Linked DNA regions of Arabidopsis thaliana. The protein of the gene in region 2 interacts with the protein of the main gene of each other region in a pairwise test. Each region holds a gene or a part of one and is shown on either strand. Other genes may lie near its edges. The genes, in order: ABCG10, CNGC9, KCO1 and AT3G03210.

The links.
Region 1: the proteins of CNGC9 (region 2) and ABCG10 interact in a protein complementation assay, tested with the Arabidopsis thaliana proteins (one large-scale study listed by BioGRID).
Region 3: the proteins of CNGC9 (region 2) and KCO1 interact in a protein complementation assay, tested with the Arabidopsis thaliana proteins (one large-scale study listed by BioGRID).
Region 4: the proteins of CNGC9 (region 2) and AT3G03210 interact in a protein complementation assay, tested with the Arabidopsis thaliana proteins (one large-scale study listed by BioGRID).

The regions. Positions count from the first base shown.
Region 1 is NC_003070.9:19,860,799-19,866,044, reverse strand, and holds ABCG10 (ABC-2 type transporter family protein), read right to left. Parts: upstream 3,225-5,246; 5' UTR 3,168-3,224; coding exon 1,395-3,167; downstream 1-1,394. Other genes in the region: DJ1B (Class I glutamine amidotransferase-like superfamily protein), read left to right, coding at 108-188, 326-526, 613-753, 906-1,103; AT1G53265 (uncharacterized protein), read left to right, coding at 4,570-4,947.
Region 2 is NC_003075.7:14,924,927-14,932,135, forward strand, and holds CNGC9 (cyclic nucleotide gated channel 9), read right to left. Parts: upstream 5,430-7,209; 5' UTR 5,214-5,429; exon of another isoform or gene 5,077-5,213; intron 4,792-5,076; 5' UTR 4,756-4,791; coding exon 4,688-4,755; exon of another isoform or gene 4,540-4,687; coding exon 3,951-4,539; intron 3,850-3,950; coding exon 3,637-3,849; intron 3,547-3,636; coding exon 3,236-3,546; intron 3,152-3,235; coding exon 2,803-3,151; intron 2,720-2,802; coding exon 2,048-2,719; 3' UTR 1,908-2,047; downstream 1-1,907. Other genes in the region: AT4G30540 (Class I glutamine amidotransferase-like superfamily protein), read left to right, coding at 42-149; GGP3 (Class I glutamine amidotransferase-like superfamily protein), read left to right, coding at 692-1,012, 1,246-1,578, 1,692-1,787; AT4G30570 (Glucose-1-phosphate adenylyltransferase family protein), read right to left, coding at 5,780-6,418, 6,496-6,735, 6,829-6,894, 6,975-7,025. UniProt on the Arabidopsis thaliana protein: Putative cyclic nucleotide-gated ion channel.
Region 3 is NC_003076.8:22,529,142-22,534,439, reverse strand, and holds KCO1 (Outward rectifying potassium channel protein), read right to left. Parts: upstream 3,083-5,298; 5' UTR 3,004-3,082; exon of another isoform or gene 2,754-3,003; 5' UTR 2,723-2,753; coding exon 1,797-2,722; intron 1,713-1,796; coding exon 1,547-1,712; 3' UTR 1,318-1,546; downstream 1-1,317. Other genes in the region: AT5G55640 (Na-translocating NADH-quinone reductase subunit A), read left to right, coding at 517-574, 723-823, 906-1,196; AT5G55620 (uncharacterized protein), read right to left, coding at 3,762-4,067. UniProt on the Arabidopsis thaliana protein: Voltage-independent, large conductance and potassium-selective tonoplast ion channel. Regulated by cytoplasmic calcium and pH. Does not mediate slow-vacuolar (SV) ionic currents, but essential to establish VK currents.
Region 4 is NC_003074.8:738,107-743,225, reverse strand, and holds AT3G03210 (Pmr5/Cas1p GDSL/SGNH-like acyl-esterase family protein), read right to left. Parts: upstream 2,523-5,119; 5' UTR 2,240-2,522; coding exon 1,133-2,239; 3' UTR 917-1,132; downstream 1-916. Other genes in the region: EXPA13 (expansin A13), read left to right, coding at 259-571; NAC045 (NAC domain containing protein 45), read left to right, coding at 4,699-4,855. UniProt on the Arabidopsis thaliana protein: Component of the plant cell wall polysaccharide acetylation pathway. Does not directly catalyze O-acetylation of xyloglucan but exhibits weak acetylesterase activity in vitro.

The DNA.
Region 1 (5,246 bases), on a different chromosome or scaffold from region 2:
GGACACTGAAAAATTTAGGTTTCCACAAAGAAACAACCATTCCTTGGTAGCATAGGCTTTATTCCATGGTAACCTCTTAGTCTCTATTCTTCCCCTTTGCATATCAGGTGATGCGTCCCAACCCTGGTGATGAGTATACTATTACTGAGCTTAACCAAGTCAGCTGGTCATTCGAGGGTACCCCACAGGTAGCTTTCAATTGCCTGTCTGGCAAAATGAAAAGAAAAAAAAGACTGGCAAAACTTTTCACACTTGCTTTACTGAGCTCATGCGTCTTTCTTAATCAATCTTCCGTACACTGAGAGATCATGTTTTTCCTTTTCAGATTCTTGTACCCATTGCAGATGGCTCGGAGGAAATGGAAGCTGTTGCTATCATTGATGTCCTGAAGCGGGCAAAAGCAAATGTTGTCGTAGCTGCGCTTGGTAACAGTTTGGAAGTGGTAGCATCTCGGAAAGTCAAGCTGGTGGCAGATGTGCTTCTCGACGAGGCTGAAAAGAATTCGTACGATCTGATTGTGTTGCCTGTGAGTGCTAACTTCTTCAAATTACTAAAGTTTATAGTGTCAAGCAAGTTGAGGCCAACATGATGAACTTCTCTTTTTATTATCAGGGTGGTCTCGGCGGTGCTGAAGCATTTGCAAGTTCGGAGAAGCTAGTGAATATGTTAAAGAAGCAGGCGGAATCAAACAAACCATATGGAGCAATTTGTGCCTCTCCTGCTCTGGTGTTTGAGCCACATGGTTTACTCAAGGTACGAGAGTAATCACAATAGCACACACATTTGCTTAGATGTGTAGGATCATTACTATATATCCGATGGCATGGAGTATTCTGTTATCAAACCGTTATTTTTGCACTTAAAACTAAGGGAAGGGTCACAATTTTTAATGGATTTTTTTACAGGGTAAGAAGGCAACAGCGTTTCCAGCAATGTGCAGCAAACTGACGGACCAGAGTCACATCGAGCATCGAGTCTTGGTGGACGGCAATCTCATAACGAGCAGGGGTCCAGGAACCTCATTGGAGTTTGCACTTGCAATTGTAGAGAAGTTTTACGGGCGCGAGAAAGGACTTCAGCTCTCAAAGGCAACACTTGTGTAAACTCATGAGTATCTTAGGTAAGAGTGACTTTAATAAGAAAAAGGCTTTAGTATCAAACGATCAATGAGTGTACCGTTGTTGTGGTGAGCTTTGTACTAAGTGTGATGCTTAAAACTGTCTTATAAATAAACGAGTTTACTCTGTTTTTATCAGAAAGTTTTTTTGTTACTTTACATTGCGAATTTTAGAATATAAGAAAGTGCTGAACAAAAAGAAAGAATATGAGAAAGTAAAATTTCTTATAAAATTACAAAACAAATTGAATTATATCTGCAGATCATTGTTATTAACCTAGCTTCTTGTTCTGTAACATCTGTACCATAAGATGAAGAATCCAAGGACTCTGTACCCGACGATGAAACTTGCCATGATACCAAGATTGCTCCATTTCTGAGACTCTTTGAGGTCTTGTTGTTTTAAGAACACGTCTCCTCGATACTCGTTGATCATCAGGCATTCGAATGGATACTTGAAGAGGCTGAGATAATGCATGAACTCCCAGTAAACGGGGATCCTGTCCTTTGCAATGAAATACCCGGAGAAGAGGAAGAAAGATCCCATGAGACCTGAGATTACTGATGTCCCCATTATGAAGTTTGGGACAAGAGCACTGAAACATGCGACAAAAGAGTTTGACATCAGAAGAACAATCCATATCACCAATGAGAAGTAGAGGAAGCCGTCTAGCTCTCTTCTGAGACCGACCAGCCAATAAACCGGCGTAGCAAAGAGCATGCTTATGATCAACAAGAAGGGAATGAATATGAGAGTATCTGCTAAAACGTAAGACAAAACTCTGTAAGCCCTTCTCGATGTCTCTCTCATTAGGATTCTCCTGTCTTGCAAGAAAATTGGAAGTCCCTCTGTTGTGGAAGATAGCAGGAAAGTGAGGATAAAGGCGAAGAACCCGGTTCGCAAGACTTTCGCTTCTTTCTTTTGATTTCCTACGTTCAAGTAAATCGACCCCAGTATAAGACCGGCAATGGAAGCTTGTAAGGCTCTGGTTGTGAACAATTGCTTGGTTCTGAAGATGTTCTTGCAAGATCTTTGCCCGAGTATCTGCACTTCCTCTAACACTGAGTTGCTGTGAGAATCAGATTGATGAAGCTCTCCTCCTGCACTAATATAGCAACTCTTCCATGTTTTGCTATGACCATAACATGAGATTTCTCTGCAACTCTGGGTTCTGATCGGTTCAAGACTCCCTGCAATATCAATTGCATACTCCAAGACATTTACCCGCCTAGGAATCTGGTGACCGGAGAACTTAATCTTCTGATGAAGGCTATAAACTGATCCGTTTTGAACAACCATCCCGTTAGAGAGCAACACTATCCGGTCTATCTGCTCGAGTATGCGAAAACCAGGCTGGTGAATCGTCAGAACAATGGTTTTACCTTGTTTAATCGTCATATCTTTGAGAAGCGTCACAACTTGAAGAGCGGACGCAGAATCCAAACCAGAGGTTGGCTCATCGATCAATATAACATTTGGATCATGAACAAGTTCAACTCCAATAGAAACCCTTCTTCTCTCTCCTCCAGAGATTCCAGATCTTGATCCTTGACCGATCCTTGAATCCGCAACATGTTCTAGACCAAGCTCTTGAATCAGCCTCTTCACCTTTGCAGCCGCGTCTTTCCTCTTTGTCTTCAGCCTCAAGAGTGCGCTGTACGTCAGTGTTTCTTGCACCGTAAGAAACGGAAACAGAGCATCTTCTTGTGGCACAAACCCTGAAACCCTCCTGTACTCAGGACCATCCATAGGCCTACCGTTGACAAGCACTTGCCCTGAAACTTTCCCATGAGAAACTTTTCCGGCTAGAATCTCCAGCAACGTGGTTTTCCCTGCTCCGCTTGGACCCGCGATCGCAGTGATCTCCGCGGATCTTGCATCACAAGAAACATCCTTTAAGATAACCTTTTCCTCCTTCTCACTCAACAAACCACATAAATTAGAAAACTTTGGAGTGTTTCCGCCTATTCTATACGACAGATTCTTGGTTTCTAATCTATATGAGATTTCCCGGCCACCGGGAATAGGAGCTTTTACCGGCAATTCCATCTAAGAAAGAAAGAAGGAAAAAGAAAGCATCAAACTTTGAGAGATAGAGAAATCAACAAATTGAGCAAAGAGTGTGAGATTAAGTGAAGAATAAATGGTAGAGAAGATGAACTAACACACCAAACTTTAAGGAACCTCTCCTTTATTATTCAAACATTCAAAAGCTTCAAGACTTTATTAGCTTTCTCTTATTGCCTTCCATGAAAACCGAAAAGCACTTGACTATGACTAAATTAAACCAAAGATATTTATGATTCCAAGCTTAAAATGCTTAATTTGTTTTTCTTAATAAAGAATTTGTTCGTAAATAATATTGATACAGTTAGATAAATTTATATGAAATTAAACATTTGTTGTTTTTCTTGTATTTTTTAATTTCTAATGAAATTGGTTGACCAAAAAAAATATCTAAGAAATTAAGATATGTAGTTGGTTCTTTTTTTTTTTTTTTTTTAATTGGGTTTTGAAATTGTGAAGAGGTACAAGAAAAGCAAAAAAAGAATTAGTTAGAAAGAGATTTGGTTTCGTCTAGAGATTCTCAAATTCGGGTGAGCTGAAAAATTGACCGTGAAATGTTTGCCTTGTTGGTGAACTTGTTTTATCTAATTTATTAGTTTTTTCTAACAAAGAAAGAGAGGAAACCCAGTTTGGTTGTTATATATTACCTACAATATTTAATTACGTGTTTCGAACTCGCTTACGGAAATTCAGATGTTTAATTAACAAGGAATAATCACGTAAGAAACCTCACTAATTTAATTATTTTTGGATAATAATAATAAAAAGACGCATTATAAGATGTTGTCTAGGTGGGCATTCGGTTAGATGTGGCTGCAAAGGTGAAGGGGCTGATTCAAAGTTGTGACGAAAAAAATCGAATTTTGATTTGGGTTTGGAAAAAACACTTAAAGTTGTGACTAATAAACTTTAATTCGGTATAAAATTAAAAACAACTTGGACCAAACGTAAGCGGGTGACTGGAAAAACGATATTTTTATACCAGTACAATTTGCAAAGTATTGTTTTCTTATATAAAACATACTGTACAATGTTAATTCTTTACCCAAATTCATAAAAAAAAAAAAATTATATCCAAACTTTATAGGTCGCACGTATTTTAGGATCTGCAATAACAAATGTTAGTTAATACTAACATACGTCGACTCAAATGACCCATGTTTAATGAATTAGCATCATCTTCAATCAAACCATGTCGTTTTGATCACAATTTTTCTTTTTCTTTTTTAAACCTAAGATTCAAATCCAAAACTAAAAGTAAAAAATAATATAAAAACACGAAATGAAACAATCTCGACAATCCAAAGAGCAAACAAAATCTTCAAAGTTGCGAGAGAGAGTTTTTTTCTCTAGACCTAACAATGTGTATTAGCAGGTTTCTGCAATGGGTGTTGCCAATCTTCGTGTTATGCATTATGTGCATAAAGATAAGGCCTTCGCGTACTGGTCTTGTACATGTGTCTACGCACCTGAATCTCGGTATTGCTCTGAAGAGCACAAAAAGATGGCCTTAGCAGAACGGGAATATGAGCTACCACATAACTTTGCCAATGTCCATTTGCATACGAATATGGAGGATCTTGTCCTACCAAAGATTATAAGCTATTTGAGAGATCCTCAACTAGGTATCATTGAAATACCTAATCTACAATACATAGACGACGTTTTTAATGTCACTCCCACTGAGCAACCAGATATGTTCTCTACTAACCTCGACGAAAGAGAAGAATTCAACATATGGTTGTTTATGATGATTTCGTGACAAATGGGTTTCTCATGTCAATTGAAATAACAATGGGACGATTTTGAAAATAATGTAAAATAGTAATGATATGTACTACAATTTTTAGTTTTACATAATATCCTTGAAATTTGAAAGATCCATCTAAACCCATTTATGCTTGGGGTTTTTCCATTTTCACTAAAACCTCTCCATTTTTATCATCTTCCAATGGCGATTTCTCGTTCCATCCTTCACCGGCCAGCTAAATCCTTTTCCTCACTGTTCACTCGTTCCTTCTCTTCGTCATCTCCTCTCGCCAATTCCCCTACTGTTTCTCG
Region 2 (7,209 bases):
AGGAATCTCTAAAACGATTTTTTAAACTAAAAAATATGTAGGAGGAAATTTTGGAGAAAGCAAAGGATTCGATCAAGAAGTTTGAACCAGACACGCAGCGTTTGCACATGCTTTGCAAGAATTTTCTGAAAGGACGAAGAACCCACTAATTGGTTTAGTTTCCACGTTCATGGTCTAAATAAATTCTACTACGTTTGTGTAATTTCATAACTATTATATGGTCATGGTCATCACATAATGTAACATATCTTCGCTTTTAACTAAATTACCGACTGCTATAAGAAATAATAATAATAAATTACCGATAAACAAAAAGAAGAAGACTGGTATTTGTAATTTTAATTTAGTCATTTATAAGTGGGTATAGGTTACGTGTATAAATAGATTATTTGATCTTCAAAAAATACACGTAAAATCGAGCTACGGTAAACAAATAAATGTGATTCTAAACTTAGATAAATTATTAGGTGGAGTTGTCATCTTATAGACAGCTAATCTCGATGTGTGATTCTTTTTTTTTCAACTAATTTTTGACTATTTTTTTTCTGTTTTCTTTATTTAACAAAAATCTCACTTGGCGTGTCTGATCTTGTTCCCCGTCGTCGTCTCTAACTTACACATTTCCATTCTCCGAATCTCTATCTCTCCTTTTGCTTCATCGGTGTGATCTCTGAGACGAAAGAAGAAGAAGATGGTGGTTATTGAGCAGAAGAAGAGGTTTGCTTTGTTTTTAGCGACGTGTGATTCAGAGTTCGTGAAGAAGACTTACGGTGGTTACTTCAATGTCTTCGTTTCAACTTTCGGCGAAGAAGGTGAGCAATGGGATCTATTCCGAGTCATCGACGGACAATTTCCCGACGAGAATGATTTAGACAAGTACGACGGTTTCGTTATCAGTGGTAGTCCACATGATGCTTTCGGAGACGCCGATTGGATTGTTAAGCTTTGCGAAGTTTGTCAGAAACTTGATCACATGAAGAAGAAAGTTCTCGGCATCTGCTTCGGCCACCAGGTTCCTTTCAATTCAGTTTTGCTCAATTTCTGATTTGGATCTGATCGGTTGGAATCTTAGGGTTTAGATTGACTCACATTTAGCTCATTTCAATTTTTAGATCAGACTCGAGTTGTTCCAATGCCATTATAGTTAGATTGATATCTTTATATTGTTGGTTTATTGATGGAGAGAGTGTTTGTTGATGAACGTTTGCTTTGTTCTGGATTGTGTCTCTGTTCTTTTGGCTATAGATAATTACTAGAGTTAAAGGTGGGAAGATAGGAAGAGCACTCAAAGGTGCAGATATGGGACTTAGAAGCATAACCATAGCGAAAGACAATGAAAAACTACGAGGTTACTTTGGAGACGTTGAGGTCCCAGCATCTTTAGCTATTATAAAATGTCATCAGGATGAAGTGTTGGAACTTCCTGAGTCTGCTACACTACTTGCTTCTTCTGAGGTATGTAACGTCGAGATGTTCTCTATTGGAGATCATTTTTTCTGTATTCAAGGGCATCCAGAGTATAACAAAGAGATTCTGTTTGAGATTGTGGACCGAGTCCTTAATATGAAGCTGATGGAGGTTTGTTCTCCTTCTCTATGATCTCTATTTTTGCTAGATAAACATTTCGGAGTGTTCTTGTTCTCAATGTAGTTAGCCTTATCAAGAATTGCAATGTGATTGATTTTTTTCAGCAAGAGTTTGCGGATAAGGCAAAGAGTACGATGGAGACTGCGCAACCAGACAGGATTCTATGGCAGAAGCTCTGCAAAAACTTCCTGAAAGGTTGATGATCCGAGACTATGTTATCTCTGTATGAACTTATCAAAAACTATGTCATCTCTCAATAAACCTGCAGTATCTTTCATATTTTATCTTCAGGAAACAGAAAGAAACACATATAAAACAAATCACAATCACAAATAATCTTTTATGTTACCACCTTTTTCTTTATCTTAATGTAGCAACACAAATCAAACAATAAAATTCAATCCGAGTTATACAAGTTATAAGCGTTCATAGACATTAGCACTTTTCTGGTAAAATTTGGTCAACTAGTATCATCAGCAGAGAAATCAGGTTCTGAAGGCTTCTGATATTTCACAAGTTCTATAGTAGACTTTGCTTCAATACGGTTCTTGTGAACTTTACGAAGTGCATTTGCAGCAAACTTTGAAGCCAGGAACGTCGCTCTGATGCTAGTAACTGATCCTTCTCCTTCTTCTTCTTCTTTCCTGAGTTGCTCAAGTTTCTTCTTCTTCACGTATCGTCGCCACGCGGCTTGTATGAAGATAGCAGCCCAAGTTCTCCATTGTTGCGAGTAGAATCTGAATGTGTGTTGAACTTGCCTGCTGTGTAGTCTTCTGAACTGGCTAGCCACAAATTTGAGCTCATCTGCTATCAAAGCAAAAGCCTCTACTTCAGTTAGAGCCTTTGCGGTTCTGGTAGAGGATGGTAGGTTGGAACCAGATTTGGGATCAAGTGCCCATGTCAAAAGCTCTTCCCCACAGAAATCTCCTTCTTTAAGCAAACTGCGGTTGAAGAAACCGCTTCTTCCGCCATCGGTGGTCACACTCTCAAGCCGACCACGGATAATGAAGAGCATCTCGTTAACCGGGTCGCCTTCCCGAACCAAATAAGAGCTCTCTGTGTACAGACACGGCTTCAACCGCTCACAGATTGCATCGAGCAGCCTCTCATCCATATTCTCAAACAATGGAACCTTTCCATAAGAAAAATAGAACAAGATGGTTTCATTTATGAATCAAGATTAGAAAAAGGCTTTTAAAGTAAGATTCAACTTACCCTCCGAACCAAAGCCAGACAGAGATGGCGTTTGATATCTCTTCTCAGATCCTTTGGGAGGTTCTGAACCAAATTCTCTTCATCAACTCCGCGTGTCTCCAACCATTTGTACTGGTCATATCGTCTGACTCGTTCTCGCAGTTCCGGTGGAAGCATTCGATGATGCATCCACTGTTCTGAATCACGTCTTTTCACTCTCATTTCTTCAAGCCGGATTGTAAGGGATTGAAGATAAGTCTGCATGTTTCCAATAAGAAGAGCAAAGAGAAGAAGTCCAGCAATGGCAAGTGCTATGGAGAATATAACTTCTCCAGGGTATGTGCTGGTTTCAAGCCCTTGACCAAGAGTGCTGCATTTGACATCGACAAAGTTACTAATGCAACAGAGACTTTTCATAATGACTATAGAAGACGGATTCTTTAGAATTACGTACCTGAGATTCTGAAGTCCCCACCATAAACAGAAGAAGTACTTAGAGACAAAGCTCTTAGATGAGACAATGCCAGAGGACAAGGCTCTTAAGTAGATCCCAAAATCAAAAGGAGGATTATCGGTTGTATTAACTGGGCAATTTAATTGCAGAACAGAATCTTTGATGGTAGTCCAAGCTGCATAACCATCCATTTTTTCATTACCACAAAACAGGAAGTTTCTGTGACAGTCCAAGCTGCTATTACTGCAAACCTTGGTCCAGCATCCATTATAACGTTCCAAGGCCAATAAGTACCATATAGCCCCAACAATCTGATAAAAACATAAGGGAAAAAAGAGAGAGTGATGAATGGATCTTTTGAGAATATAAGAGGAAAGCTACCAAAGATAGTATGTACTGACATGGCTTGCGAGCATGTAGAGTAGCAAGTAATAAGCTGCACCAGCCCAAGCAGTTTCAGCAAAAACACCAGCTGTTCTCTTTAACTCTGAGCTCAAAGGATACAACCGAATGAATCTTGGAATATATTGAACTAAAATGATAGATCGCAATGCCCGCTTTGTTGCTAGCACACTTGCACCTTTAGAGATGTAAAGAAATCTCCAAACTACAATCTGAAAAATCCAAAGAATAACATAAACTAGTCATAAAAATTTAGAGAACAAAGAAACAATGGAAGATAAGAGAACACTGGGAGAGGCATTTCTGTTATTACCTGTGGAAGTGGAAGCACAGAGAGAAAGTCAATGATGAAATACTGCTGCAAATAACGTTTTGCTATCTGTGCAGGGTCAATCACAAGTTCGCCTCGACCAAAAACCCGAGAAGAAGGGGCGACAAAAGCTGTTCTAAACCGAAGAGCCATGTGAAAAAGATAAAACGCATCAATTACTGTCCGCAGCGTTGTTGCTATAATAGCCAACTTCCGGTCTATACCGATACATTTCTCATTATCCTTAACAAACGGAAGATACAAGAAGAGCGGATCCACAGACACAGCGAGAATGCAAGAAGTAACAAACAGTTTGTTACAGAGCAAAAGAAACTTGTCCTGTGGATCAAAAATCTTCTTCTCTGATACTTTAAGATCTTCAGGAAAAACTGCTCGTGAAACCCCTAAACCAATTGATCTTCCTATAGACCAAAGACCTTTAGAACCTTTTCTAAACCCTTTCTTAAAGGAACCAGAAGATACATTGTTTCCCTGAGCACCACCACCACGTGTTGGTCCTTGTAAATTGAGAGTGCATCTGTTTAGACCAGTATCAGAAGTCTGCGAGTACCTAGAATCCATACTATCCAACCTGTGAAGAACAAAATAAACTAAAGATATCCATTTAGTTTCAAACCTGAAGTAAAGGAATGTCCTTTTTGGCTAAACAATATCTGAATCTGCTAGAATGATATCATCATGTTAAATTTCGATCAACTATATACAATAATGAGAGTTACCTTACAAACTTCTCGAGACGGCCACTGATTACTTGTGATTTGACTGCTTTTTTGCCACAGTCTAACATGCTTTTTCCTTGTGACTCAACTCATGAATCCCAAACCTGTTTTTACACACATAAGAAAATGTAATAAACATTTATGATCAAAATCATTTCAAGCAGCAAAATCCTAAACTTGCAATAAATATAAAAATAATTCAAGCACAAAAAATGTTATTGTTTGTTTACAGAATCTCTCTAAAAATCAAACTTGGTTAATGGGTTAAGAACATCCATCCATTTTCGTTGACCTGAGAACTCAAATTGACGGAAAAAACTTGAAAGGAACCACATTTTCTCCCCAAACCAAAACATCAACAAAAGGGTACAAACGAAAAAACTAAATACTTGAGTTTTCAGCATGAAAACGAGACGATCTTAAACGAGAAAGGTGTCAACCAAAATCAAGCAATGGGAAGTACAAAATGAAGATCATTCCAAACAGTAATTGGCTAAGAAATTAGGAGGGAATGCAAGAGATATACCAGAGAAGAAGACGAAGGAGAATTACGGTAGAAAGAAGTTACACGCCAAATCAGACGGAGACGAGAGAAGGGTGAAGAAGAAAGTGACAATGGAGTGGGAGGAGACGAAGTCGTTTCACAGATGAAAAAATATTGATTTTGAGAGAAATATCACAAAGACAGAAGAGAAGAAGAAGAAACTGAAAGTGTCTCCGTGCCGTCCGGGTCGGGTCCACTCTCTCTCTCTCTGCCGTCACGTCTTTCATTTTTCTCAACGTTAATTACATACACCAAACTATAGTCTATTAATAAATCACAGTTTCGTGTTTAAGAAACATAGGCTTTATCTACAATAATTTATATGTCCCTTATAAGAATGTCTCAAAACATTTACGAAAGAAATATACACAACTTGCTTAGGGATGGATCTGAAAAACGTTTTTCTCTATTGGTGTCGAATACCATTTTTAACCGGTTTATGATATGGTTTACCATAGAGTTTGTATCTGTTTTAAATTGTAAGAATATTGCGGTTCATAAGACTCTGGAAACAGTGGAACTAACTAATCTAGGTCTAGGCTCTGGTTTCACAGACCTTGCTCTTCGATAACAACCCCACTGTTGTAAACCTCTGCATCGGCGACGTTAACATCTTTGCCAAGAACCGTTATATTAAAAACTCGAGCCCACCTTCCAACGGTTGAATCCCATCCCACGATACTATTAGAGATACACGCATGTTCCTTGATCCACACACCGCGCATTACAGTACAACCAAACAATCTTACACCTGAATCAATCACACATCCCGGACCAATCACCACATCAGGTCCTATCAAGCAACCTTCTCCTATAACCGCACTTTCGTGCACGAGAACATTCCCGATTATGTTATCCCCTGTGGCCAGTTCTTGCGGAGTTTTCTCTCTTAGAGAGTTAAGGTACATTCTTTGCCCGGTTATGTAATCTTTCGGTTGACCAATGTCCATCCAAAAACCAGGTAGTACCATCGCGTAAAGCTTCTTCTCTGAAGCTATCTTAGGGAATATCTCTTTCTCTATCGAAGTCCTTCTCAGCTCAATCCTGTCAAGAACAGATGGGCTCAAGAGGTATATCCCAGCGTTGATCTTGTTCCCCACAAAATGTTTCGGTTTCTCGACAAAACTTTCAACTCTCGCTGTACCTTCCTCTGTAACCACCACACCATACTTAGAAGGATCATCAACCTGTTAATATCAGAAAATGCTATTAACAGATGAAAGATAAACTTCACAAAATGCAGAAAATGCTCCTGTTTGACTACCTCGGTCACCATGATTGATGCTTCAGCACGGTTAGTCTTGTGAAACTCGATCATCTCAAGCAATGGGTATTCACAGATAACATCGCTGTTTAGTACAAAAAAGGGTTGGCCTGATTCATCGACCAGCTTATCCCGAGCCAGCGCGAGAGGCCCTGCTGTTCCAAGCGGTTCAGTTTCTTGGGAAAATGTAATCTTAATCTCTAGCTTCTTCTCATATTCTTTCACAAAGTTCAACATGACCTGAGTAATACCAAACACACAAGGAGAAGGAGGATGACACGGAAGAATTTCAATTGTTATCGTATCGTTATTAAGGACAATGAATGTATGTACCTCTGGTTGTTGGTGATTGATAGCTAATACAACTTCAGTCACTCCAGCACCTTTTAGAGCTTCAATCTGCGAATGCATCATAATGAGAACAAAAGAAACTGTGAAAACTTGAGCAAATACAAAAGAAGAAGAAGAAGCTAACCTACCTGATGCAAAATCATGGGTTTGTTTCCAAAATCAACAAGTGGTTTAGGCATGCTCAAGGTAAGTGGCCTCAATCTGGTTCCGAATCCTCCAACTAGAATAAGAGCCTTCAATTCTGCATAAATATAACCAGATGATCTACTGTCATCTATGGGAGAATCAACAAGAATTATAAGCACAACTATTTCAGTATATATTGCTTCAGTTTCACTGAGAACACAGGAATCTCTGATTCAA
Region 3 (5,298 bases), on a different chromosome or scaffold from region 2:
ATATGGTATAGAGATATAAGGGTATTTTCATGATAGAGAGAAAAGATTCGAGAGTAGTTTTTTCTAATACTTAATTTTATAATTTTATATGTATATAGAGTGCAATTTCCCTAATATAAACAAAAAACCAAACACATAGTACTAGTTTTGTTTCACAAAGCACAACGCAACATTTTCGTCTAGGAGTTTCACGAATGAGTAGCTGACACGTGGCTGAATACCGACCATCGATAGTAGATTACAAAAGTATCCCTAACATCTCCTTCTCCGCCGTGTCAATCGCAAACAATCGAATCCGGATCCGATCCGATTCGCCTCAACACCATCATTATTTATCTGTTTCCCCCTTTTCCCAAGCTCTAACATTTAGGGTTTCGCGAAAAATCAATCAGGTGAAAAATAATCGAATTATTGTAAAATTGATACATAAATTCACATTCAAAAGCCAAAGAGCTGAGAAATTATTTTTTGTAAACTGTTGGTCCTTCGGAGAGTGTCCATGAACGTTAGTCTTCAATGGATACATCTGTAATGCAGACGAATCTTCCCAAGGTAGAAGACAATGATGAATGGGGTAAGTAATTTCGCTTTAATCGATTCAGTTGCATTTCTTTATTGAAATTAGGGTTCTTTCGTGTTTATGTGATCGGATTCAATCATTCAAATTTCTGTATCTTCTTGTGTAATTACAAATCTTGAGTCGATCATTTGATTGGTGGCAGACACTGATGGGTTTGTGATTCCGAGCTTGGAGATTGAAGAAGACAAGGTTAATAATAATAATGATTCAGAAGTTGAAACATCAAAACCTTCTTCTCCTAAGGTTAGTGATTGATTTCTTACGTACAAGACAAGTTTCAAAAAAATGTTGTTAACTCTTTATCTCTCATTGTATGATTTTGTAGAGTAAAGCTGAAGAAAACATCTACTTAGGACCACATGGAGCTCCTCCTTCGCAGCTACAAGATGGTGGTAGTAACACATCGAGCCGCAAGCAGCGGTTTAAGCAGATGCTCAAGGAAGCAGATCAGAAAATGAGCGGCTCTGGTCGAGAAAACAAAATGGCTAACTTAAGAGAGCTTGTAGGCGGGGGTGCAGGTGCAGAGAAAGGAACTAATATGGGAAAAGGTGTTTCAAGAGACTGGCTTGACCCTCATTGCCATGAATCTCAGTTCGAGAAACGACGACTTCCATAACGCGAGAAACCGCTATCTTTTGAAAATGTTTTGTATCAATCAAAATACCAAAAAAGTTTAAAGCAATAAAACAGTCTTCATACCCTGTCCTTTGAGAGAATCATCCATGAATTCTTGGTCATGGAGCATAACACTAGAGAGCTTCATATGTATAGATGTATGTAAAATTATACACTCAGCATCAAGAAACGATCAAAGAGTTAGAGTGTGGCATTACATTACAAACACAAACAGGAAAAAACAAACAAAATTTCGAAAAACTGTTCACTCTCTTCGGCTTTTTGTTGTGTGAAGGTATAACTAAACAAAGATTCTGATTCGTCTTCGCAAGATGATGATGATGATGAGGCTTACCTTTGAATCTGAGACGTGGTCTGAGCTAAAACGATGTCAGAAGTCGTGAGAGTTCCTGATTCATCGTAATCAAGTTGCTCGAACTCATCCATTATCCCAGAAATATCTTTCTCATCAATCTTACCCATTTCTTTCAGTTTATACACAATAAACTCTGCAGCTCTGCAACACACAATAGACAAAAAAAAAAGAATAAGAAGAGGAAGAAGGAAACAGAAGATAGAATATGTCTGATGTCTTTCTTACCCAACAACTCCATCTTCATCGAGATCAGCTGCTTCGAGATCATTGTTTGTGATTCTTCGCGTTAAAACCCATTTCACCAACGCCCTCTGTTTGTTTTCTGTATTTAGCTCAGCTACATAAAGGAAAAACTGAGCCAAACATATGCTGCTCGTCAAGATCCAAAACACAGCAAAAAGGCGTCCGGCTTCCGAGTTAAAGCTCTTATCTCCATAACCCAATGTTGTAACCGTGGAGCAGACGCAGTAGAAAGCTGAGATAACCGGCATTTTCTCAACCATTACAAGGAAAATCGTGCCAACAATGAAGAGGACTACAAGGACAAGGCATGTAGCATAGCATTTGTATCTCAACTTGTTAGTATGCAACTCCTTGAGAATGTCTGTTGGACCAAAGCTTTGACGCAAATGGAAAGCCCTAACGAGCAAAGCCTCTTGTTTCTCCACTAGATAATCCGCCGCTCGACTTAAGAGGTGACCAACGAGGACCATTCCCGAGAAGACGAAGGCACAAGCAAGTAGCCTTGAGGCGGAACTATTAGGGACAAGGTCACCGTATCCAACAGTTGTCATCGTTACTATACAGAAATAGAGAGCATCTACCACACCACTGGTTTTATGACCGGAGATCTGGTCTCTCACGAGGTAGAAACAGAGCGTACCAATGGTAAGATATAAAGCCAAGAACATGATCACTCGCCTGAGATTCGGGTTTAGATCACTGAACATTGGGATTTTACTCGGATGAGGAGGTGGTTCGTCGATTTTGACATCATCATTGTACATACAATCACCACGAGGAGCACTTCTAGAGCGACGCAATCTTCGTTTTCTTGAAGAAGAAGTTCTTGAGTTCAGGTTGAAATCTTGAGCCATGGTATCTATCTTCTCAGTGGGTAACAATGGCGTACGAGCTGCATCACTCGACATTTCTAGACTCAAACCAGATTAACTATGAGATCTGCACAGAACAATCAAATCTCATGTTTATGTTACGAAAACCATCGCCAAAATTGACATCTCCTGTTCTGAGAAATGAACATATGTATCAAAAAATTTGAATTTCGTAACAGAAACTTGTCAGAACTTAGATACAGATTTTGAGTTATAGCTAAAGATTAGACCTTTAGACAATGAAAAGATGAGTTTTGTGAGAGTAATCAATCAGACACAGAACACGAACTGAAGGAGGAAGAAGAATTGAGACATACCCAGGAAAGTAAGATCGAAATCAAAAGAAGCGGTGTTGTCGGATCTCGCAATTGGTCTTCATTGATGATGTTCTCACAGTTGGCCAATTCTTGTTTTTATTTTATTTTAATTATCTTCTTTTTTTTTGGTCAAAATTTATTCTCTTCAAATCCGATAATTTTGTTTTTATGATCTTCTTCATTTTCTTGATAGGATTTTTCATTAGTATCTTAGTATAAAAATGTTTTGTTTTGTTTTTTAAATGTTTTTTTTCATATAGAAGAATGTATGTAATGTCTTAATTTTCTAGTTAGTTTTCTATCCTTCTGTTTTTTTTTTGTGCAAATCTAGTAATTAGTTTTATATTATACACTCATAATCACAAGTAATGTACAAGCCAATAAGCCAAAATATCCAGCATGACGTCATGTTTAATCTATATCATACAATAATCTATATGTTTTATGTTAATGTCAATATGTTAAGATTTTTATAAGTCGATAAATCACATTTTTTTAGTGTTATACATGACATCAAAGATGTTATTAATGCACTCATATGATACATATATATGTGAAGAATTGCATACTTCAAAACATCCCCACACACAAAGAAATATAACACACACTAGTATTTGACATAGTTCTAAAACATTACTAAGTGATTGATATACATGGTAATTTGACATAATTTTAAAAACATTCAACCACTCGAGTATAGGCTCATTGATATGCATGTGGAGAGCGATATAAGATCATTCAACACCAACATAGACCATCTAAAGCTGATCAGGCCAGAGAAATGATTCAATTGCAAAAACCCTCTTGTCTTCAAGAGATCCTTCAAAGGAGAATCCATATTGTTTGAGGAGCAAGTCAAGGCGGAGATCATCCATAACTTCGTAATCAGACTTGGAGTATTTAGGGTAGTGAAGAGGGACTTGGAATCCACTTGGGAATTCTTCTTTCTTCATCATCTTTATAATTTTGTTGCGGGTGCTTTGGCAGTTGCTGGCTTGATCCATATGGTTCGAGTAGCCGAACATTTGGGTGAAAGCCGATGTAAAGAGCAATTTCATTTCCATTGTCTTGGTTGATTTTAAGATTTTATACAAAAAAGGAAAGAAAACGAAGGTTTGAAATAGAGAGAAAGAGTAGAGAAGAAGAAGAAAGAGAAGCAAGGAAGCTTAAGACAAAATACCAAAAAAGGAGAAGCTTGAGACAAACTCTAAGGCAAGCTCGATGTTTGGTTATAGTAAAGGCGACCAAAGACTAGTATATATATAGAGGCAGGCAGGTAGGTCAGTAAGACAATTATTATTTGTCTTTTCGACATGATAATCGTCATTTGAATTTTATTTTTATCATCAAACTATAGTATGTAATATAAGATGTACTAGAAATTATTTGTTTTTGTTTTTTTAATTAAACAAAAGTATGATTATAACGAGTAGTTCTTGTTCTAAACCAAACCAGTAAACCTTTTTCCTTTTAATGAAAAAAAAGTATGATCATAAATAACAAAATGTGAGAACGACGGCTGTGAGCTACATGCACCAGGAAACGCATCGGCCAATGATGGTTCATGCATTCATGCACTCATTATCTTAGGTGGGGACAAGTATAAAACAGTTGTGGTGTGCAAGGAGAAAGTAGGTGAAAGTATTTAATATTTATATTAACTAAAAATAACATACTATGTTTTTGAGGTTATATGAGTTTTGGTCTTTCTTTTTAATTTAAAACCATTTTTATTGGCATTTTTTGCGGAATACCTTGTATATTCTAGGAAAAAACACTTTTTATATAAAACAGTTAAGATTATGATATAATTAACAAATTTTTAATAAAGAGAGAAATTAAGAAAGAAGAAGAAAAATGGCCATGATAAATACAGTAGTTGGTTTTACTATTCGGTTGGTGATCCTTTTGTTCATTTTGATAGGTATGAATCTCACCAACGCTTCCATATACTTTTTTCAGTTTTGTTCAAATCATGAATCCATAAGTTTAACATCTTAATTAAGAAAATTACCTATTAAATTCAATATGTCAAAAGCATGCAAAAGGAGAGATATTCTTTTTTTGCTTTGATTTTTAAAGTTTGATGTATATGTTTAGATTTAACAATACAAAACTTTTTTTAAAAGAAAATAATATTCTCTTCATCCCACAAAGATAAGTTTTCTAGAAATTTAACATTCTTTAAAAAATATTTTATAATGACAATTTAACATTCTTCTAATTAACTAACAAGAACACCCAATCTTTTATGTTGCTTTTTATTTCTTATGTATTGTTCTGTTCCTTCCTCTC
Region 4 (5,119 bases), on a different chromosome or scaffold from region 2:
AGATAGGTTTGCTCATCATAGTTGAGTAGCTTTGCTCTCATTTTCATCTTAGCCATGAGAGGACTGAAATTGACTGTTTCTGTGAAGTTCTAGGCACAATGCGGTAAACTACTATTTAGGTTCATGATACAATGGATCATTAGATCCTTTATTAGTTTGTGAAGTGTTTTGGAGCTGAGCCTATAAATAGTTAGTTGCATATCACTTAAGTTATGAGTTATGACTTACAACCATTTTTGTTGGCTTTTACCAAAACAGGATCAACTGTAGAAAGGAAGGGAGCATGCGGTTTACAGTCGATGGTGGAGGCATTTTCATTTCGGTTTTGATCACCAATGTTGCAGGGTCCGGTGATATAGCTGCTGTGAAGATCAAAGGGTCGAGAACCGGGTGGTTACCTATGGGTCGTAATTGGGGACAAAATTGGCATATTAATGCTGATCTCAGGAACCAAGCTCTCTCATTTGAAGTAACTTCTAGTGACAGGTCAACCGTGACATCTTACAATGTCTCCCCGAAAAACTGGAATTATGGACAGACCTTCGAAGGGAAACAATTCGAGACTCCGTGAGACAGAGACGGACACATTGAGATACAATCCCATGATTCTTTTTTTCCGGGTCAGAATTTTTTGATGGCAAGTATATCGATCTTGGTCTAAGGTTATCTTTAGGGTTGAAAAGGAAAGAACTTGGGTCAGACTTTTGCATTTCATAGTTCTCTCTCTCCCACGCATAGGTACAAAAACTCACCAATGTACTAAGAACAGTGATCACACAAACATCACTATTGTATCTATTTGTTTACATTACTAAGGAGCGAAAGCTTCCTTCAAGTGCTTAAAGCTAATGATGAGTACTGAGTCTTATCGTAAAAAGAATCCAAAAGGGTACTGTGATATAACAAGAATCAGAATAGCTAAAGGTTATAACTTCTCAAAGTCAAAAGATATTAAACCTATTATAGCCATGAATGTAAGTTCACTTACTTCTCCAATGTGAAGATCACTCAGGCCAAAAGGATCACCGTGTGTTGTAAAATTCCTATGAACATCCCACTTCTCTTAAAACTCTACAAGAGAACCCCAAACAAAATAAAAGGAAAAAAAACAAAAAAAAAACGTGTCAAGAACTCATAAAGATTGATGAGATTCAATAAGCAACGCATTGAGCATGACATGGACAGCGGCATCATAGACCGCAGAGTCATAATGCATCCCGTCAAGTGTACATTGCGGTCCACAGTTCCAGGTAAACGACTGGATATCAAGCAAGATAAGAGGACCACCCATTTGACGTAAGATCTTACTCTCCCCGAGTGATCTATCATACTCATGCCACACCGTATCACTCATCTTCTCCTTCTTCTCATCCGTATTCAACATCCCGTTGATCAAAACCGGCATCCCAATCCAGAACAGATGCACAGATCTACCGGAGACCGACCCACCTCCTTCTTGCTCCTTTGGCGTAAGGGGCACTAGAGACTCCACATGACTACTCAATTGCCTCAACCTAAAACCAAAATCTGAAGCATTGTTCACATGAAGCATATGCCATAACCCAGTTCCCATGATCACAACATCAGGATACTTTTTCATCTTCTTATAAGATACCACAAGATCATCCAAATCTTTCTCATAAGGAGCCCAAACAAAATCAAGCTTCATCCCAATCTCCTTAACCACAATGCTGTAATCACTATGTCTCCTAAACAAATCCCCTCTAACCGAATCCATAGCCTTGGAATCCGAACCCAAAACAAGATTCAACAAAGACAAAGCCACGAATCTCGCCTGAGAATCACCAGCAACAACAACCCACGATCCATTCAACAAATCCGAAACATCGAACTTATCCAATTTCTGAAACTCACAACTCAAAACTTTCCTCGATTTCATCCAATCCCAGTTCTTCACGAAATAATCAAGCTTTGTTGAGCCATTGTTCCTACGAACAGACTCCGGATTCGGTACCGGTTTAACATCCCAGACAATCTGATTAACCTCGTTGATACAAGAGATACGATGATCGTAGACAACAACAGAGGAAACAGAGGCAACGATGTCGGAAACGGAAGGGAAATAAGGCGTGAGATGAACACAAACCGCGAGAGAAATAAACAAAGCGCCACTAAAGAAGAGCATCTTGTTCCTGCTCAGATGCCAACCAGCCATTGCCATGGGAACGAAGAGGACGAAACAAGCTGCTAATACTCCCAAATGAATCGCTCCTAGCATCTCTCAGACTCAGATTTCGGAATCAGACACATCTAGATTTCCATCTAGACAAAACCAATTTCATCCAGATTCGAATTAACTCTTTTTCTCTATAATTTAAGAAGAAGCTAGGGTTACGGATTTGGTTCGGTGAAGAGAATCTATCAAAATTGAAGGTGAAGATGAAAATTTGGTGAGATTGAAAGGAACAGAACAACCGTAGGCTTCTTCTTCTTTGGTTCGATTTTTTGTATTTAAAATTTTCCATATTTGTAAGATCTCCATTAATTTATGATCTCATCTCTCTGACTCTCAGACATGGTTCGGCTCACTTTAGCCTCATTATGGAACTGGGAACTATTCTAACGTGCGCTCACCGCTGGGAATCACGTGACCGCTTTTAGATTAATCATAAGTTCCTCGGCCCACGGTCAAGCCCATTTATTCACGTGACCGCTTGTAGATTGATCATAAGTTACTCGGCCCACGGGAAAGCCCATTTAGCCCACATCGTTCAACAAATCAATGACACTTTCCTTATGTGTATTTTCATACGTACGATTTCATCTTGGAATGACATTAAATTCTGTAGATCCGCGTTTTCATCATATAATAAATGGAGAAAAAATCATTATAATCATTTAGACTTCTTTTTTTATAGCTAAAGTTACATGTAATTTCGTGATTTTTCTTCACGGTCTTAAGTCTTGGGGATCTTGTAGACTCCGAAATTTCATAATAGTTTCAACCGATTTTTACATATTAACTTTTAATTTATTACTTTCTCATTCTAACCAAATTTATATATTTTTGCCAATGAGGCAATGACCCAATCTAATGGTGGGGCTAATCATAGGACTAATATGTTATTAGTTTATAGAATGTGTGTGAACGTTAAAAAGAATTAAGTAAAGAACCAAAAGATGGATTCATGTGAGGGAAATGTCTCAAGAAGGGTATGTACTATGTACACATTGTAGATATATTAAAGATATATATATATGTGTATATATATGGTGATACAAAGAAGAAAGAGAATATGGAATTTGGAATAATGAGAGAAAAAGGTTATGACGATGATGAGAAAGGCTGAGAAGTGATTCTCTTGGGTTGGCCCATCAATAGCTTCCAAGGATTTATTCACATGTTCACAACTGCTGGATCCCACATGATCATACATATAACCATCTCAAAACCATATGCTTGTTCAAATTTTATATATATATATATATATATATATATATATCTGATCGATTTCATTTTTCCAAATTTTAGATAAGTTTTTTTTTGATAAATCAACTTTAGATAAGTTTTATAGTCGCCTACACCAAATGTGACTGTATGTTCATATGATTATATATAGCTTTCGAGTTTCGACCAAAATGATAAATACTCAAACTATAATTTCTTATATCCATAAGTCTTTGGAGTACGTAATTGGACTTTCGGTCAATAGTTTTTCTATATTGGAACAAAAGTTTTGGTATTTTATATGACGACACTAAATATGGAGAGGAAAGGATTTCTGGCCACTCAATTTTTTAATTTTTGTTTCAAAATCTCCGAAATTTCAATTTTTTTTCCCGAATCACACAACCTTACATTAACAGCCTAATACACTAGAAAATATATGAGCATTAACTGATGGAACGACCATAAAATGGAGTTCATCTTTCTATTCGATATACGATATACAATATGAATATGAGAAACAGAAATAGACATATATAAATGACAAAATAAAATGTAAAACACTACTAGTATAAATTTACAACATCAAGATATCTATTTTTAAAAAAGATCTATGTACGTAGATCGGATGGCAATGTGAAGGGAAACAAAGGATTCGCATGCAAGTGGGTACAAAAGAGACAGTTATTTCAGTTAGAAGTGCCGCCAAATAACAAAAAAAAAAAAGAAAAAAAAGAAAGAGAGATTGCAACAGTTTTGGGTTAACCCAAGATTCGATCTCCCATGCAACCAATAGAAATCTGACAAGTGCACATATATTCCAGACCGACCACTCTCGGAGAAGCATGGGATAATATAATTGATGAAGAAACACGGTTTACATTTAGGGCGGCAATTTTTGATTAATTATTCCGGTTAAGTACCAGAATCTACACGTGATCATGTTATTTGTTAGCATTTTAATTATCTATCAATATAAAAAAAACACTTCGAACAATATTATATATGCGTCGGACAGAAATTGATGAATTGTAAATATTAATTAAATTTTGAATTTTTTTAACATTATATGTTATTTTGGGATGGGGACCTTCCCTTTATTCACTTTTGCATCTCCCTTTTTCATTACCTCTTTATATATAACCTTGCTCTCCAAGCCCTCAACGAACACAAAACATATACCTATTCTATAATCTCTTCTTCTTCCTCTCGAGTCTCGATTCTCTCTCTTTCTTTCTTTGAAATTGATTCAAACAAAATAACTTCAAGAACAACTTGAGATTATATATATGGCTCCTGTCTCGTTACCTCCAGGTTTCCGATTCCATCCAACAGACGAGGAACTAATTACTTACTATCTAAAAAGAAAGATCAACGGTCTAGAAATCGAACTTGAAGTTATCGCTGAAGTTGATCTTTACAAGTGTGAGCCATGGGACTTACCAGGTAATATTAATTTGACGTTTCCCTTGTTTATGCATGAGATCCACTTAATCAAATATGATTTAAATTTTTTGAAAAATATGATTTCTGATCAACATTAATTACGCGATTCTACTTTAGTTATCAAATTCTGCATATATTATTCATTTATATGGATTTAAATTACAACATCTGTAATCGTTAAGAATTATTATTATTTGTCTAAAACCCATAGGAACAAGAGAGATTGAAGAAAAGAATAAGAATATAGCATTGATGAAGAAACCC